2 linked regions of the Schizosaccharomyces pombe genome follow. The protein of the gene in region 2 interacts with the protein of the main gene of each other region in a biochemical or structural test. Each region holds a gene or a part of one and is shown on either strand. Other genes may lie near its edges.

The links.
Region 1: the proteins of sin1 (region 2) and gad8 form a complex in vitro, tested with the Schizosaccharomyces pombe proteins (one study listed by BioGRID).

Annotation. Positions count from the first base shown.
Region 1 is NC_003421.2:910,775-916,051, reverse strand, and holds gad8 (serine/threonine protein kinase (AGC family) Gad8), read right to left. Parts: upstream 3,553-5,277; 5' UTR 2,936-3,552; coding exon 2,914-2,935; intron 2,843-2,913; coding exon 1,155-2,842; 3' UTR 814-1,154; downstream 1-813. Other genes in the region: SAGA complex subunit Ada2, read left to right, coding at 1-670; SPOM_SPCC24B10.06 (uncharacterized protein), read right to left, coding at 4,793-4,988, 5,054-5,204. UniProt on the Schizosaccharomyces pombe protein: Involved in a signaling module for sexual development and cell growth under stressed conditions. Required for G1 arrest under nitrogen starvation and for growth at high temperature and osmolarity.
Region 2 is NC_003424.3:4,745,286-4,750,117, forward strand, and holds sin1 (MAP kinase-interacting protein Sin1), read right to left. Parts: upstream 3,143-4,832; 5' UTR 3,004-3,142; coding exon 2,981-3,003; intron 2,938-2,980; exon of another isoform or gene 2,922-2,937; coding exon 1,038-2,921; exon of another isoform or gene 999-1,037; coding exon 908-998; 3' UTR 815-907; downstream 1-814. Other genes in the region: transcription factor TFIIE subunit Tfa1, read left to right, coding at 1-814; mid2 (septin ring organizing protein), read right to left, coding at 3,854-4,832. UniProt on the Schizosaccharomyces pombe protein: Component of the mechanistic target of rapamycin complex 2 (mTORC2), which regulates multiple cellular processes to control cell growth in response to environmental signals.

The sequences.
Region 1 (5,277 bases), on a different chromosome or scaffold from region 2:
TCTTACTCGTCGGGCTGTTCGTAAACAAACCATTTTCAATCACAACCTTTTAGATTATCGACGGCTACAGGCGAATGAGAAGCGCATGTCAAAAGAGGAACGAAACTTACTTAATAAAACAAAAGCATTTGCTCGACTTTTGACGGGCCCTGATTACCAAAAGTTCGTGAACAGCTATCACGAGCAAATAACCCTAAAAAAACAAATTTCTGATTTACAGGAATGGCGACAGATGGGTCTTACTACACTCGAACAAGGACATAAATATGAACGCGATAAAACGCAAAAATTCCTCTTAAGTAAAGCTTCTGCTTCATATGATAAGCAATTGAGGCATGTTAAGTCGTTTAACCAAACCACTTCCGCTCCTTTTCAAGTTCGTGACATTCAAAAGATTGTTCCTCGAAAACCAGCGACTCCCACAATGTTTTCTGCTTCCGCTGATCGGCAACTGCTTTCAGAGGATGAGCAAGCGCTTTGCTCAAAACTGCAGATTTTCCCTAAACCATTTTTGGCTCTAAAATTTGCCTTAATATCGGCTTCACTGACTTCCAAAAAACCATTTCAAAAAACCGATGCAGTTAATTTATTTAAACACTTAGACGCTAATAAAGTCGAACAGGTGTACGACTTCTTCCATAATGCTCGGTGGATTGGCGCTCCAACCTAAAAGTACTGGTTTCTTTTACCTTTTTCATATTACTCTTGTTTATTACCTTTACGTTTTGAAATGTAATTTTACTAATTACCCCTTCACCTTTAATTACATCTCCGTCTTTTTTTCCCTTTTCAATAGCCGTTACGTTCTTATGCTTAATAATTAAAAAGAGTTTTCCATCAATTTTCTACACTAGTAATTTCGGAAACTACAAGAACAAAAAACACTACATCCAACAATATCTGAGACTTTTTCTCAGCTGACAAAAAATAAATAATCTTCAAAGACTTGAGGTTGTCAGTAATAATAATAATAATAATGATAATAATAATAGTAATAGAAAATGATCTTGTACGACAAAAAAAGATGACAATAATGAGAAATGAACGAAGCTTTGGCCTTTATAACATACAAATATGTAAAAGAGGCAAGAAAAGCGGCATGTATGAGTAAAAATGAGAAAACTTTCAAAATAAACAAAGAAGTGTCAAATTCATCACCTAATGACACTTCCAGGTGCTATTGTATTAATGTCGTCGGATGTATCAATGGTTGTTGGTCGTTGATAGCTCCAATTGGCAAACCTTTGTTGAACGGTTTCAGATAAGTGAGAATCGGCAACAACACTATCCATTGGGATTTCCGATGTAAATTCAGAATCAAAATTACTAGTATCGATAGCTGATTCAACGCTTGGTTTAAAGGGTGGCTGTATCTTCTTGGCGCATAACTTTTTCCAGTCGATATCATCAAAGAAAGGGTGATTTTTTATTTCTTGCGCCCCTCCACTACCCAGCCGCTTCTCTGGAGCGCGGGTCAACAATCCACTCAATAAATCTTTTGCTTTCTCGTCAATGTTGTCTGGGAATCGCAAGGGATCTTGAAGAATTTTTCGGTACATTTCGTTTATATTTTCATCATAAAAAGGAGGAAGTCCTGTAATCATTTCGTAAAGTAGCACACCTAAAGTCCACCAGTCAACAACTTTTGTATAACCATGACCCAAAAGCAATTCAGGAGCGAGGTATTCAGGGGTGCCACAAAAAGTATTCGTTCTATCGGTTTTAGCCATGTTTAGCTTACAAAGTCCAAAATCACACAAAGCAATATGACCGGTGTAGTCTAATAATATGTTTTCCGGTTTTAAGTCTCGATAAATAACGTTGAACTCATGCAAACATTCCAAAGCAACAAGTAGTTCAGCAATGTAAAATTTGGCACGATATGTATCAAAACAGCCTTCTCTTTGTAAGTGATGAAATAACTCACCACCGTTAACAAAGGCCAGGACAAGATACAGCTTACCGGGAGATTGAAAGGAGAACTTTAATGGAACAATAAAAGGGTTATTAACTTGAGCAAGTACTGTCCTCTCAGCCAATGTGTGATCTACTTCACTGCGAGATACAATGTGGGCTTTTTTCATAGTTTTTAAAGCATAGATACGAGAAGTGTCACGCTTACGCACTTGCATGACTTTTCCAAAAGAGCCTTTGCCAACCACTTTCAATAGTTCAAATGCATCAATGGTTAAAGGGGTACTTTGATTGGGTTTGTAAAGCATTTGAACACGAAGTTCACCGCTACCCCCATGCAGGGGTACCCATTCGTCTGTAAGCTTGTTTACAATGAAAGAAGGCGACAGTTTAATCCCGCCTAGGAAAGCGTCATTCCCCATACCGTTGCGCGAGCGGCTGGATGAAGAACGAAGGTAAATATTCAGGGAGAGTTTGGAATAACGGGAAACGTCAAAAGTTGCCTGATAATCCCAGCAAGGATTTTCAAGGCTTGCAGTATTTAGAGCATCTACTAAGATTTCATTTTTGTCGAATTCAACGACGATATAAGGTAACCACCAAGCATGACTACGAGACCTTGCGTGTCCCGAGCCATTACTAAGTGGAGGGGCAAGTAAAGAATTGTCAATGGAAACCCCGTAGTTGGCAGGAACATGTCCCGACGGTAATTTTAAATTTCTAGCTTCTATAATTGTGACCTGCAATAAACCAGGCTGCACGACGGTACTTTGGGGAGACCGTTTATCCTCCGAGCTTTTCCGAGATTTTTCATCACTTGATTTACGAGAAGAAGTAGAGGATAAAGTACTGTTTTTCAGACCTCTAGTAAAACTAGAGCCGCCAGAGTTCAGGCCAATAGCGGATGCTAGATGAGTTTCTTTTAATTCTAAAAAGCGAAAAGCTGTTAGTATGAAAAAGAAAGACAGAGTGTGATAACCCGTATTATGGAATACATACTCTTTGTAAGTTTCCAGGACATTTCGGTAACGTCTGTTTGGAGTAGAAAAAAAAAATGAACTGATTTTTAAAAGCTCGCTTTCCCTCTATCTTTTCTTTTAATATAACGAAAATGATAAAGAATAAGGTAACGAGGCTGCAAAAAAGCTTCAATCTAACAAAAAACGTATTTATGGACTAATTCGAAGACAAAAACGGGAAGTGTACCAGTAAGCGAATACGAACGAACAATCAAATCAAATCCAAAAAAAAAATAAAATAAAAAGTAAGCACAAGTTGCAATTTTTTTTGAATAAACGAAAGGGGATACAGGCGTTTGGTAATGTCAGTATAGTAGTAAATTCGTCAAAGAAATCTAATCCCGATAAGTAGTAAGCAAGGGTGTTGATTTTAAAATTCAAAATAAATCGCAATCTCTTTTATTCCAAAATCCCTACTAAAGGAATGCTTCGTTGATAAAGTCGATTTCTAAGCCGATTTTGGTATTACGACTTTGAGCAAAGTCGCCTTCACCTCGCGGAAATTTTGACGAAATTGAAACCAATCGACAGCACTAAATACGTTAAAGTCAATGAAATAAAATTTGATGTCAAAAATGCTTTCGTTTGATATTCCCTTTGTTAGGTCGTATTGGCAGTCAGTAGATGTGGCCAGCTCGGATCATCCGTATTCCTAAAATACAAGTGGTACAAGACAGCAGCTTTTTGCGGCAGAACAACGTGAGTTCGATAAAATATTATAAGGAGAGCTACCGATACGGTCGGCACATTACGCAGGTTTGTCGTATAATGATCAAAAATTATAGACCCTTTTCTCGTACGATTGCACTATATATAAAAGTTCTTTGCAATGGTGTTTTACATATCAGCTATTAAATTAGTTAACTTAGTAATGTCAAAAAGATGGAATATTAATATAGAGAAATTAAAAGTGCTGGTGTACTCTTGTAAGTGGTAACTTGCTCAAGTTTGTAGTGACCTAAATTGAAACATAGGATTTATACTACACGTGTCAAGAAACAGCACTCAAATGGATCAATTTACAAAACGAAGTATATAGCAAAACAATACAAATAATTATCTTGACAATTATCTGCGGACAAACGCAAAATGCCGTTTACGCGTATGTGTAGCTTAGCAGACCAATTAACTTTATTTGTTTTAAAATAATTATAGAAGCATGTAAATACCACCGTTAGGATTGCAATATCCTCTTTACAAAACAAGTCATTTATTTATGCCTTCCATCAGATTTTTGCAACTTCCAAGTACGATGCGTTTTGTAAAATTTCAGTTCCTTGTGCAACAAGCGAAAAAAAAAGATAAAGCAATTTAACGGAAAAGCAATTTGTATACCAATGCTCTACTTTTAATACACTGGACGCTTCGTACAAGTCCTTCAAAGTGTATATAAATCCAAAGAGAACTGAAAAACAAAAAACATTTTCAAATAAAATAAAATAAAATAACATATAAAACAGAAATAAAACATGAACAATGAATTTATGAAAAGAACGAAATTTGTTGAAACTGATGACTCACTCAACTGTAGGCAAACCCTTACTTACCCATGAGAAAAGCAAATTCTTTTCGTAGTTACTTCTAGAAGGCTCCTCACTAGTAAAAGCGATGTTTCTTCAGAGTTTTGAATTTTCTCACAGAGAGCTCCCTTTGTGTGTTTTATTTAAAGGGATGAGACGAGTTTGCCAAAGCGCCTAAAAAAAGAAACCGGTTATCGAGCGCAGATATAGAATTGACAGTGTAAGTAGCAACAAAAATTTTAAAAGAGTAAAGTAGAATCAAAAACTATATCTAAGTTTAGAAAATCCCTAAAGAGAAATTTTCAGGTGAATGTTAGGGGGTAGGTTCCGGTTGAATTTTTAAAGGACTAAAGCGGCAAAAGCAGCAATGCTCAAGAGTGAAACAATCAATAATGAACTCTTGGAAAACCGGACAGGGGACCCACTCTCCATCAATTCGCGCCCTGTATTGGGAATGGATGCTGCGTATCCAATGGATCCGGCAGGTGCAGAAGTGTAAGTAGTAGATGGTTGATATTCGGTGTAACTATAAGGACTAAAAATAATATTAGTAATTTTACACAAACAAATAGTTTCCATAAAATGACAAGCATGACTTACAAAATGGTTTCTACACCATCCGACCAAGATTTGTCGGTGACAATCACAACATCGCTCACAGTAGTAGAGTAACTTGCCTGAGTTGAACTAGAATCATCATCCCTCTTAACAAATGGGGTCAAAGGAATTTTTGAGGGCAAAACACGATTAGCTAAATATACTGAGTTAGCTATTTCACATAGTCACAAAATATAAAGACAGAGACATAGAGAATAGAGAAGGGA
Region 2 (4,832 bases):
GATGTCTAGTCAGAAAAGGCTAGGAAAACTGATGGGACAAGTTAATGGTATAATCGATGCATTGAAAAGGGTGGATGAAATTGTCGTACCACAAAACAATTTCCAATCTGCTTTAGAACATGCGGTTCCTGTTTCGTTAGACACCCAAAATTTGTCGCAACAAAACTTGTCAAAAAGTAATTCAGACGTCCGTCTTTCCACCTCTTCGCCATCTATTACAGTTGATTTCTCTGCTGATAAAGAGACTGATGAAAAGCGTGAAAGGAATTGCGACAAGCAAGTCAAAGCTGCTCAAAACATTCTTCCCGAATGGCATGCAACATCAACAATTTCTGGCTCCATTACTCGTGCTGGAGCTAAAGATGCCGCACTTCATAGTTTTAGAACTGAAACTGTTAATGAGGTTCAAGACACTAAAACAGATATTACTTCTGAAAAGAGCGCCTTAGATGCTTATTACGCAACACTTCGTGCAAAGCAAAAAGAGGAAAGCGAGTTTATGGACAGTGAAAACGTAGATGATGAGGAGGATGATGACTTCTTAGACGTTACGACGGCTACCTCTCTTCAAAACAAAAGTACTGATTATGGGTCGGTCAAGCGTAAAACCGAGAACCTAAATTCAGATAGTGATATCCAAAATAAAAGAACAAAATCGATAGAAGAAAACAATTCATTACCACCTATTGTTTCTACAAATGGTATTACTGATGGTGATACGGAAATGCAAGAAAGTAAAAAGAATGTTATTATTAATGGATTTAATGAGGACGATGAAGACGATGAAGATGAAGCTGATTTTGAAGATGTTTAATAAAAATGACATAGGGGAGAGAGCAATGTGATACCAAAAAACAAAGGTGTTTATACCTATGTATTCATAGAATCTTTTTGTAATAAATAAATGTTAATTTATTTTTTTAACAGTATTCATCAGTGCACGTATCCTGCTAACTATAATGGCAGCTTCCAAGGCGGACAAAACTTCAAAATCATACCTGAACTCGTTAGCTTATTAGCGTTAAAAAATTTCTTACCGCTTAGTTTCCCTATTCTTGGACACAATCATTTTAAAATTACATGGTGATTTTTTAGACTGCTTGCATAAAATAATCGATCCAGCATGTATACTGGACGTCTTAGGCGTTTCAAATATATTTTTGGATTCAGACGGCATTATGTGAACGTATTCTCCATCAATAGCTAGTAGACGCTCATGTCTTCCCATAAATGAAACAGGTTGTCGTTTCCATACAAGAAATTCTTGATAGGTATTGCTCGACATAATATCTGTTGCATTGTATGTTGAAGATTGTGCATCTTTCTTAATAGATCCATAAACGGAATTTTGTGGTGAGGAGGTTGGCAATTGTTGGGTACTTCCTTTTTTATCGCGTACCTTCTTTTTAACAAGTTCTAGAGTTGGATTTCCGTCTAGTGAACTAAATGTTTTATCAAGTGGTAAAACAGTATCAGATCCAGCAACTCGCAGAGTATACTTAAATCGCTCCAATTGCTTCATCCAACACACCTGGTTCAACACCATAGCCAATCTAGTAGTTTTTGATATTTCAATATTGCAAAATCGAGCATTATCCCCGTATGGGGGAAGTCGTACCTGTACGACATGAGAAGTATTAAGTGTATCTTTGACATCCTGAGCTTGCTTTTGTGATTGACTTGAAGTTGAACTAGTATGCCGAATATGCGTTTTGTTATTGGCTTCAGGAATTGATGTTGGATGCTTCGATTTAAACGGGTAGGCAGCTTGATTTTCCTTTATTTGGGCAGGAGTGGCTTTAACTAAAGCAAATGCGTCAAAACCAAATTTTGATAATGGACCTACACGGTCCAAAGCGGGAAAATCTTCATCTAGCTCCCCGTCATCTTCAACAATACGTAAATTCCAATAATTCGGATTTTGAGCCTCATCTTCTATTGGGGGCACGAGTTGCTGGTTAACGTATTGAAGTAAAATATAACCGATAGCCTCAGAGACCAAAACATTCTTTCGGAGTTCTACAAATAAGGGCTTTGAAGGACTTTCGCTCGAAGGAAAATAAATGTTTAAACGGAGGGCATTTGATTCTGCATGTCCAGAAAAAGTAGCAAAATTTTCAGCCAATGGCCCATTCTGGCTACTGTTTTCTTTATGTTCAAGTAATGCACGAAGAGCAGATGTAGGAGCCTTTGCGTTCGAAACAGATCTTGCTTTATTGACTGTATTGTGTGTTCCGCGTTGCTTACCAGGAAAAAGAGCATCAACCGCAACAACTGCATCAGCTTCAGTGTCAGTTAAGGAAGAATTCATTGGAAAAGTAAGAGGAATTTCTCCTTGACTTAAATGAAATGATTCCTCAGAAATCGACCGTAGATCATCATAATCCGTAGAAACACTGCTTTGCTGGTTTATGGAAGACTGTTTGGACGAGGTTAAATTCACTGCCTGCGAGGATTCTACCATGTTGGTAAGCTTAAGATTTGCGATAGCATCAATATTATTTAATGTGGAAATTTTGGGGTCCAGTCTTTCCTCTTCTTTTATACTTGCAACATCCTTCTGCATTGGGACTTTGCTAAAAGAAAATATACACGAGTTATCGTCATCACCCACATCTGAAGATTCGGATAAGTCAGAAGTAGCATAATCAGAATCTTCAGCTCGAGAATGATTAACTTGACCCCCAGCACCATTTACTTGTTTAGTATCACTCGGCTTTCGGACATTGGATACAGTGTCATTAGCGACAATCGGGGGACTTGAAGAAAACGAAGTTTTAGAATAATCATAATCATGAATCAACAAGTCTTGCAATGATTTGTCCAATTCCCATTCCGGGGCCTCAGTAGATATAACTCGATTTTCGATTGAGTCAGGAAGTATATGAGAATATTGCATTCGCAAAAATGTTAACAAAAGACTGTAAAATAAACGTATTAGTTTGTATAAGTTTCATAGGAAAAAAAATAGTATCCTTACACTTTCTCTCTTGTTAATTCCATTCTGAGTCCTTATTATATCGCATTTACAGACTTTATAAAATATTTAATTTCAACGAAGTTTGAATACTTAGCGACCATACTTTTTATGGCACCTTAATATAGAAAATTTGTAAACTCAATTATGTGAAACGTTGGTGACGGACGCCGCGTGCTTTATTTCAGTTGCTATGTATCCCCCGCTAAGCATTTAATTAAGTGTTGGGGGTAACACCGTAAAGTACCACCAAATTTCAAAAGACAGCAAAATATGAACGAAACTATTAATTCAAACAGTTATTAACTGAAGTACAAAAACGCTAGACAATGAAAAAAAGTGATCTCATATACGTTTTAGATATTGCGAAACAGCTAAAAATGGTATTTGAACTATATAGCAATTACGGTATTAATTATTTACAGAATAATGTAATTAAATTATTGTGGAATTTTTATTTTTTGAAGTTTCTCAAATGGCAAGCTTACGACTTAATAAATTCACTCGACAACGCCAAGCTAGAGTATTTTAAGGAATTTGATTTATTTACAAAGCCAAGATAAACGTTTTGAGACAACTTATTTTGACAACGTTTCTTCGGATCAAGGGAAACTTTCAAAAATGAAGTATTTTGCAACTGAAGTATAAATATACATGGGGAGTAGTAAGTAATTGCTATCCGATTTTTAACAGCTTATATAAAACGAGCTCATTTCAACCGAATCTAGCTTCTCGATGGTAGATAAAATGAACATTATGTATTATGCGAGGGAAACAACAAAACCAATGAAAAATGCAAGACGATATAGATAAAGGAGAAGATAAAGACCAAATGTGATTTAAATAGAAAAAGTGAGGTCGAAGCAAATGGTCAATTTAAAAACTCAGCGAAAGAAATGATTTGGTCCAATTTTTGTGAACCATTGAACATTGCCCCAAATGCTGACGAAGTGTAGACATCCACTCATCTTTTTCGCCGACGGTTTCAGCGTAAAAATCGATGTAGTCCCCATTACTGAAAATGATACGGAAACCCGATTCGAAATACAGATACCCTTCTAGTTCTTCTTCATCACTATAATGGTTGTCATCCACGATATGTGTGGCTTCAGACAAATCAATCGTTGCTCTGCGAACTTTAGAGAATTGTTGAAAAGCTACTAACTTTGATCCTATTAATTGAAAATAGCGACGACGCCAATAAGGGCAATCCCCACCTTGTTGACATAGATAACCATCACACAATAAAGTTCTATCCCATTCAGCAAGCTTTAAGTCATACATGGCAGACTCGATTGAAGCGGGAAGTTCTTTCAGAGAGACAGGAAGCGCTGGTAAGAAAAATACGTGGATTTCGAGTTCTCCTACTTTTCGAGGGAGAGGCTTGACATCTTTAGCTGCCGGATCAACAGTCCATTTGTTCATGATTGGTAGAACCATAGATTGACAACGGCCTAGTGCGGTTCGGCTTACAGAATCAGTGTTAATGGTAACTTCGCCGAAAGTTCCATCTTCAGAAACAAATCCATGAAGTGCTTCTGAAACGGGGTCGGTAGTCATAGACTTTCTCTTATTTGTTGAAAATACTTTTCCAAGTGTAGAACGAGTGCGAACCTTAGGTGGATCGTAAGCCGCACGGAGCGTACATACAATTGAAGAACTAATACTTTCATCAAAAGTATACTCATTTTCAATTTTAGTAGTAGAGTGTAAGGCGTTCCATGGTACTTGAATGTGCTTACCAGAGATTGTATAAGTGAACCTAGTGGTCATCCCCGATGCCAAAGGAATAGTTAAGTTTCTGATTTCCATAAGACGGACAAACAATCTTCCACTCCCGCCGGTTTGTTGCAAA